2 linked regions of the Rattus norvegicus genome follow. The protein of the gene in region 1 purifies or fractionates together with the protein of each later gene. This does not show direct contact. Links are inferred from orthologs where the notes say so. Each region holds a gene or a part of one and is shown on either strand. Other genes may lie near its edges.

The links. The genes of interacting proteins can lie anywhere in the genome.
Region 2: the proteins of Gsk3a (region 1) and Axin1 purify together in Homo sapiens (affinity purification with mass spectrometry; 12 studies listed by BioGRID and IntAct, with this or other methods). This does not show direct contact. The link is inferred for Rattus norvegicus from reciprocal best matches to the Homo sapiens genes GSK3A and AXIN1.

Annotation. Positions count from the first base shown.
Region 1 is NC_086019.1:89,943,037-89,947,402, forward strand, and holds the end of Gsk3a (glycogen synthase kinase-3 alpha), read right to left. Parts: coding exon 4,343-4,366; intron 4,251-4,342; coding exon 4,144-4,250; intron 3,354-4,143; coding exon 3,256-3,353; intron 3,169-3,255; coding exon 3,073-3,168; intron 2,634-3,072; exon of another isoform or gene 2,397-2,633; coding exon 2,210-2,396; exon of another isoform or gene 1,921-2,209; coding exon 1,828-1,920; exon of another isoform or gene 1,291-1,827; coding exon 1,217-1,290; 3' UTR 633-1,216; downstream 1-632. UniProt on the Homo sapiens protein: Constitutively active protein kinase that acts as a negative regulator in the hormonal control of glucose homeostasis, Wnt signaling and regulation of transcription factors and microtubules, by phosphorylating and inactivating glycogen synthase (GYS1 or GYS2), CTNNB1/beta-catenin, APC and AXIN1.
Region 2 is NC_086028.1:15,698,584-15,702,949, reverse strand, and holds part of Axin1 (axin-1), read right to left. Parts: intron 2,612-4,366; coding exon 2,471-2,611; intron 1-2,470. UniProt on the Homo sapiens protein: Component of the beta-catenin destruction complex required for regulating CTNNB1 levels through phosphorylation and ubiquitination, and modulating Wnt-signaling.

The DNA of each region.
Region 1 (4,366 bases):
AGGACCCAAAGTTGCTCCGTCCCAGGTCCCCTCCCTTTCTGGAGCGTCCTGCCCACTCACTGCTTGGCACCATGTAGAGACAGCATTTCCTTCTGCCCATGGTCCCCGCCATCTGGCTCCAGTGTATTTTAAAAGTCAAGGGGAACAGCCAGGCAGAGTGGCACAAGCCTGTAATCGCAGTGTTTGGGATCCTAAGGCAAGATGATCTTGAGTTCCAGACGAGCCTGAGCTATACCGAAGACCAGCTCAAAACCAGAGAGGGAGAGAAGAAAGGCTAAACTCTCAACCTCCACCTTCCCAAGGTTGCCACTTCCCAATACCCCCTAAGAAGTAAAGCAAGTGGGTCCCATGCTTCAGACAGGGTACCTTAAGCCTTGGGAATCTGCCTATGCACATATATACCTGTGCCACCAAGTCTACAGGCAATTAGATGTGCAGCCTGAGACTCGTCCCCCCAGGTCTTGCACTGAGCGCCCAGGTGTGCATCATTTCTGCCACTGACAGATAGTTTGTGCCAGGAAATGGGTGGGCTCCACATCTGTGGTTGACAAGTCCCCCTAACTGAGGTGGAACTCATTCCAAACCCTGAACCCCCACCTCTGTGGAAATAGGCAGCCAGACAGGAAGAAGGGTTTCATGCCAATAATTTATTGAACGGAGGTCTGTACACAGGCAAACCTTACTGTGGAAACTAAGACACCAGGGGCTCTCCCTACTCCCCTCCTTGGGATGGGGAGAGGGAGGAAGCCTTGGGAGCAGAGGACAAGAGGGGGGTACAGCTGAGGGGGAGGGCAGGTTGGATGGTGTGAATCGACGTTTTCTTTAAGAAAAAAATTATAACAATCTATTTACACCCAAGGGGCCAGGAAGAGGATACGGGCTGGGCTGGTTCTATTTACAAGGGACATGGGAGGGGGGGGGGGAGGAGTGGTAGCCTGGGGGAGGGGAGGGGACCACGGGGGTAGAAGGTCCTCATACCCCCAAACCCCGTCCGTCCTTCTCTTCCCTTCCCTCCCCCACAAACAGTTAAAATCCTCTTTAAAAAGCCCACCACAAAGGTGAGGCTGGTGAGGGAGGCCTAGATGCTGGGTAGTTCATTTACCTCTGCCCTCAGTCTAGGGGCCCAGCCAGGGCAGGAGCTGGATGGGCTATGGCCCCCTTCCCAGCCCCACTTGAGCCTTCCCAGATGGACGTGGAGGGGTAGTCGGTAGGGCCCTCAGGAAGAGTTAGTGAGGGTAGGTGTGGCATCAGGTGCCTGCCAGTCTTGGCCAGTCTGAGTCTCAGTTAAAGCTGAAGGAGGAGAGGGAAGGAGGGACAGTTGGCCTTTGCATCACACCCCATGCCCACGAGAATAACTTGCTTCAGAACACTATGCAAGAGTGACAGCTGTCACTCTGGGCTCAGGGTTACAAACTGATGCCAAAGGACCAGCTTGACACTGAAGTGGCTTAACAAGGAGCCAGGCTCCATGGAGGGAAGGGGCACTGGAAACAGCTCCAGCTGCTGTCAGGAGAAGGGCAGACCCATGGCTGCCAAGCCTGACCTTCTTTCCCCTAAGAAACAGGAAATCTGGGTTTTTACCCAGAATGGCCCAATCTTTAAATGTGGGCAACTTTTTGTTTATTTGTTCAGACCAAAGAAATGTTTGGACTTCCAGCTGGCATTTAAACACAACTGTGGGCAATATCACCCTATAAAGCTGGTTGCTGACATACTGTAAAATATGCCTCTTATGCTGTCAGATGTCAACAGCTCAGAACCCACAGAAAATGCTAGAAGCCAAGAACAACCCCCGCTCGACCCCTCTACACATGTTCCCCAGCTTACCTTGTGAGGACGAGGTGAGGGTAGCAGGGCCTGATGGGGACCTCAAGTGAGGAGGGATGAGAATGGCATTGAGAGACGGTTGGATGGAAAGTTCTAGAGACAAAATTGACATCCCCAGTTAAGGAGAGGCAAGGCTATGGAAAGCCAGTTAAGGTTAGGATGAGGAACCAAACAAGGACCCAGATACTGGCAAGGCCAGGTGGAGGAATCTTTAGCCACAGGACTCTTAGGTGGAAAAGTAGAAAAGGCCTGGTATGCAGCCACAATGTGGAGACACCTAGCTGAGCCCAGGACCACCTTGTACCCTCTTAGCTCCCCAGTCTTGTTCAACACCAAGCCTCTCCACATCCCCAACACCTCCACTGGCCCCAGCTATGCTCACCACCAGGACTGAAGTTGAAGAGGGGGGGAAGCGGGCGGTTGTTGGGGAGCTGGGTTCCGAGACTCCGCAGTTCATCAAAGAAACTGTGGGCACAGGCCTCTAGTGGGGAGAGCCTTGAGGATGGAGTGTACTCCAGCAGGCTAGAGCAGAGTGCGATGGCCTCAGGTGGTGTCCGAGATTTGAACACCTGTGGGTTAATGCAGAGGGGCGAGGTGCTGTGACACCGTGTCATGTGCTCCCCTGTGGCAGCCTGCTTCCCAGACACCCACCTCCCTGGTAAGGAGACCGACACAATGAGATGGGTGCTGGCTCAGGGTCCATGACTTGTGAGTCCTAATGCGTACGTGCCACCATATAAATGGGAATCTTGTATTTACCTCTGAGTTCTCAATTTTTAAAATTCTATAAACTTCACAATCTCAAAGTGTTGACTGCCTCCCTGGATAACTTCAGAGACTACCCCCACCATATTTCTATTTTTCAATGTTTACCTATGTATATGAAAGCTTTGCTTGTGCACATTTGTGTTAACACATGCATGCCTGTAAGGATCCCCTGAAACTGGCTTACAGGTGGCTGTGAGTGCTGGAACCCAAACCCAGGCCCTGTGTAAGGGTAACAAGTGCCCTTGGCCTCTGGGCCAGCTCTCCAGCTCTGCAAACCATGGTTTTTATTTTATTTTATTTTTTTTCAGAGCTGGGGACCGAACCCAGGGCCTTGTGCTTGCTAGGCATGCGCTCTACCACTGAGCTAAATCCCCAACCCCTCAAACCATGGTTTTTAAACCAGGTCTCCAGAGCAGTTGGTCTACAAGGGGATCCAACCTTCAGCCATGCCATGCAAGCCCGTATTTCTGCCCCTACCTTTGTCCAGGGGTGAGCTTTGATCTGGGGGAACTTGAATTCTGTGTAGTTAGGGTTCATCTCTCGGATTTGCTCCCTGGTTGGCGTCCCTAGTACCTGGAAAGGACAGTGAGGGTTTGAAACAAAGGCCCTTTCCTTAGCCCACCCCTGCTTTCCCTCGCCCTGGCCCTGCCCCGTCCTCACCTTGATGATCTCCACAAGCTGGTCTACCCCACTGTCCCCAGGGAAGATGGGCTGGCCAAGAAGCAGCTCAGCCAGTACACAGCCAGCTGACCACACATCTGAAGGGGAAGGAAGAATGGAGGTAAGCACTAGACGGCCAAGGCCAGCAAGCCGACCCCTTCACCAACACCGCTTCTCACAGCTATCCCAGAGGCACTGCAGCAGCGCTGTCTCACAGAAGGTGCCTGGCCCAGATGTGCTCTCCAGTCCAGATACGCTCACATCCTCATGCCCTTGGTGAGTGATCCCGAGGAATCCTTTGAACATTCTTTACTTTTCTGGACTGGCACAAGGCCTGGCCCTGCCAACTGGCACATGCGTGCTCTGGGCCAGAAGGAAACCACCTATCCTGAACTAGCTGTTACCACCTGGCCTCTGGCCTGCTCACCCCTCCCTGCTCTGTACCTTGACCTGCACTGGTACAAGTTCACACCTGAGGACCTCACCAGCTCCTCAGACTGACTGACATCCTCCTTCAACCCTTCCTTCCATGTACACACTCCCATCTCAGCCTTCCCCTCAAGCTTGGAAGAGGGTAATGCCATGCTCGGAAACAGAAAGGACAGGCCCTGAGAGCAGGCCATGCCCTTATGCTACTTACTGCCCACCCCTTCCCTCGAACTGAGAACAGAGGCTCACTGGGAGTCTCTAAGTGGAGGTGGACTCTGGAGCCAAGTCAGATATGGAGTCCCAGCCCTGTCCTGAGCAGTGCTCTGTCCTTTCTACTGTTTAGCTGCTCTAAAGAGATGCGGCAGTTCCAGCCTCAGCCTGGGAGGACCAGTCAAGGACAGAAGGCAGGCAGGGCCTAATCGCCAAGCCTGTCACTCCCCAGCCCCTCCCCTAACTGACCGATGGACGAGGTGTAATCTGTGGCTCCAAAGATGAGCTCCGGAGCACGGTAGTACCGAGAACAGATGTAGGACACGTTGGGCTCCCCCCGAACCAACTGCTTTGCACTGTGGGAAGAGATGGGCAGGGTTAAGCATGAAACCAAACTCAAGGATCTTTGATCCCTTCAGGCACTCCACAGGCTGCAGGTCAGACCTACCTGCCAAAGTCGCAGAGCTTGAGG
Region 2 (4,366 bases), on another chromosome or scaffold:
ACAGCAGCAGCAGTGGAGTGGGTCAACCTGAGCTTAGTGTGCTACAGAGAGCAGAGCACCAGTCTTTTGGAGGAGCCCAGAAGATCATGTGTGGATCCCAGACATTGAAACAAGAAGTTGTGGACTGGGGATTTAGCTCAGTGGTAGAGCCCTTGCCTACCAAGCCCAAGGCCCTGGGTTCGGTCCCCAGCTCCGAAAAAAAGAAAAAAGAAAAAAAAAAAGTTGTAACATTGAAGTTGCCTTGGAGACCCCAAGATGTTTGAGATGCCAGAGCCATGAGCTGTGTCTGCTGAGGAAAGCTGCTAACAGAGAGTGCAACCAGCCCAGGAGAAAGAAGTTTGTTACAGTCAACAAACATGAAAAAGGAACTGGAGAGCTAAAGACCAGTTTGACATCAGACATGGAAACGAAAAGTTTTGAAGTTTGCCCAGCTGGTTTCCTGTCTAAAATATTTAGGGAATATTCTCCCCCTTACTAATTAAGCCATAAGGTGGCTGAGCAGATAAGATGGCTTAGATGTGAAGTGCTTACACCCCAGCATCTACTTAAAAAAACAAAACAAATCTGGGCATGGTAGTATATACCTATAATCCTAGTGTTGAACAGTCTCTGGTGCTCATTGGTCAGTTAGTTTTACTGAATCAGGATCTCCAGATTCAGTGTCAGCAAGTAGGTAGAGGCCCTTTGGAGCACCATAGGCTTGATGACCTAAATTCAATCCCTAAAAACCACAAGGGACAGCAGAGAACCAACTCCCTAGAGTTGCCCTCTGACCTTCACATGTGCTATGGCACACACATGCACTTATATACTCTTTTTTACTTCACAATAAATTTTTTAAAAAATTTAGGGGGCTGTGGAATCAGCCCTGTGGTTTAAGAGCCCTTCCAGAGGACCCAGCTTCCACACAGTGGTTATATAGAACTCCACGTCCAGAAGATATGACATTCTGATCTGCCCTCAAGAGTACCAGACACACATGGCACAAATACATACATGTAGAAACAAAATGTATGTATGTATGTATGTATGTATGTATGTATGTATGTATGTATGTATGTATGTATTTTAAGACAGAGTCTTACTATATAGCTCAGACTGTCCTGGAACTCACTGGGCAGACCAGGCTGGCCTTAAACTCAGAGATCCACCTGCCTTTGTCTCCCAAGTGCTGGGATTACAAGGTGTGAGCCAAAATAAATTTTTTTTTCTTCTCTTTTTTTCAGAGCTGGGGACCGAACCCAGGGCCTTGCACTTGCTAGGTGAGCGCTCTACCACTGAGCTAAATCCCCAACCCCCAAAATAAATTTTTAAAAAATGAAATTTTAAATCAGGGCAGAACTGCTGAACTGGGCCAAGAACCCTTTTGGGGACCCTATGCAGTCATGAATTAAGAGCCATCTAGCAATTGGAAGACTTGGCTCTGATCACAAGTAATGAGCACAAGCTAGAGCAACACTAGGATTGGAGGAAGCACAGGCATGGGGTTAAGCTCAGCCCAAACATGACCAAGTCAGAACCCCAGGAACCTTGGGTCTGGATGGTCAATTCAACAAAATGTTTTATGCCACTCAATTATTTAGTTTAATTATTTAATAGTCACCAAGGCTCCAAAAAGCCACCCACAGGAAGGGGTTCATAGGACAGGTCCACCCTACAAGGGCTTTTGGGAATGTGACCACACAAGACAAAACAAGTTCCTAATTGTGATCATATCAGGGATGTGGAGGGAAAGATCTGCCTCCATAGCTTGGAACTTAGGCTCTCAGGGAACTAGTCTTAGTACAGAACGCAGGCTCCCCAGCTGATCCAGACCATTCATGATCTATCAAGAGTCTGTATCATAAAAAGATGCAGGGAAGAACAACACAGGCAAGAAACCCATTTATGCAGACTGATGGCTCCCAGGAGAGAAGACCGCCTGGTCTGATTGTTCCCTGTGTCTGTCTTCTCACTGAAATCCCCATTCTATAGCTAGGAGAAAACAAACCGCAAGTTTCTTACAGGCAGCTGTAACTCTGAGTCCACTACTCTTAAAAGCAGCAGGAAGCTGCGGCCTCCAAGACTGTCAGCTAATACAAACTTCATCTGTAGGTTGGATTCTGTTCCAGGATTTTTAAACCGCTTTTGTTGCTATTGTGCTGGGGACTGAACCAGGACCTCCACTGAATTACACCTTGGCCCTTGGGCTAGGTTTTGAAGAATAAGCACTTATAGGGCAGTCTGTCATTATTTTTAGGGTTTGTGTTTTGACACAGTCTCATTCTTGGCCCAGGTTGACCTGGCACTCATGGCAAGGCTGCTTCAGCTTCCCCAGTGCTGGCGTTACAAATATATTCTGCCGTGGCCAGCTTCATGTCTGTTCCTTAGGAACAACTCAGTCAAGCTCTGAGAGCATCAATCAGTAAGGAGCAGCCTGTTAGATCAGCAGAGAACACTGAAGCACACAGCAAGCACGCATGGGACTTACACGCTACTGTCCGTGAGGGATAGAGTGTCAGCATCACTGGACAGGCTCTGCTGCTCACTGTCATTGGCACTGGTGGCTGGGGCCAGGGCATAGCCAGAGTTGACATAGTAGGGGTTGACAGGCTCCCTCCAAGATCCATACCTGTGAATAAGAAAGGCAAGTGAGTGGCAGCAGAGCAATTATTCTGTTTTAACACACAGTCAGTTATCTGAAACAGAGCAGAAGATCACGTGCCTCCATCCCCTTCCTCTTCCCCTCTTTCCATCTTTCCCAATTCCAAGGAAGGGATGAAAGAGGTCTAAACTCTTTCTTTCTAGATGTTTCCTCTTTTTTTAAAAGGCATTTAGGTACATAAACACAGCATATCACTTGGGTAGCGGACAATACTCCATCTTTCTACTAAAGAGCACAAGAAAAAAGAAACCATTATCTTTGTTACAACTACAAAGTAACCCACTTCTGGCCCAACTCAATAGGTTTTTCTGGATCAGCCAGCCAGAGCCACCAGGACTCTAATTCAAGTCCTTGGGTGTCAGGCATCATGATGTTCCATGGACAAAAAACACAAATGAAATCTGTTGCTGGTTGGTGTGGGAAGAAGATCAAAGCCCCACTACTAAAGTAACAGAGTCTGATTGTTGCTCTGTGATTGGCCAAAAACAAGAAACATAACCTGAATTTTCTGTAAGGGCACTTTGCTATACTTATTTTTCTCTTCATCTCTCTACAGCATTTGGCACTTGCCTACTAGCTGATTTGTTACATTTTGGAATTTTTATTTTGTTGTTGTTGTTGTTGTTTTAACACTTTACAAGTTTTCAAGTTAAAAAAAAATTAGCTAGGCATTGTGGCACATGCCTTTAATCTCACAACTCTGGAGGCAGAAGCAGGTGGATATCTTATGAGTTTAAACCCAGTCTGGTCTACAGAGCCAGTTCCTAGAGACAGGTGATCTTGTAAGTGCAGGGCAAGCCTGGCAAGCTTTGCAGAGAGCAGAGAAGTGGGCTCCAGGAAGTCCGGGCTACACAGAGAACCTGCCTCAGTCAGGTGTGGGGACACACATCTCTGCGGCAGAGCCAGGTGGATCTCTCTAAGTCTAAGGTCAGCCTGGTCTACAGAGCAAGTTCTAGAACAGCCATGACTACACAGAGAAACCATGTCTCAAAAACAAACAAACAAACAAAAAAACCCCAACCAACCAATGAAAAACAACAAAAGGGGGGGGGGAACCCTGTCACGTTGTGTTTGGCCTACATGCACTCGTGTATACTACATGCATGCCTAGTGTCCATGGAATCCAGAGAATACTGAATCTCCTGGAGCTGGAGTTAGAGACAGTGGTGAGTTGCTGTTGAGGTGCCAGGAACCCAGCCAAGGTCTTCTGCAAGAGCAGTTACTGCTCTCAACCACTGAGTCACGTCTCTCCAGCCCTCCAGACGTATTTTTACTGTGTGTGTGTTATAATTAATATATATTAATATTTATCTATATAAGTAGTGCATGCAAAATATTTTCTCCCTAAACATACTTTTTCTTACAGTCAAGGCCCTCTTACTCTGGTCACTTGAATGCATGATCCTGCCTTAGTTTTCCTGAGTAGTTGGGATTACAGGACTGTACCACCATACCTGGTCCCTTTTTGTATTGAGCACACACAGGCCTTTTAATTTTAGGTCATAAACATATTCTTCTATTATTCTTTAAAACAATTAAAAGATTTTCTTGAGGCAGAGATTTAGCTCTGGCTGATGAACTTGTACTGGTTTTATCTCTGCTTTCCCAAGTACATGACCTATCATATCAAGCTTCCAGCAGTTTTTTGCTCGTGTTTTAAGAAAAGTCTCACTATGCAGTCCGGGCTGGCTCAACTCACATTCCCTTGCCTTAACTCTTCAG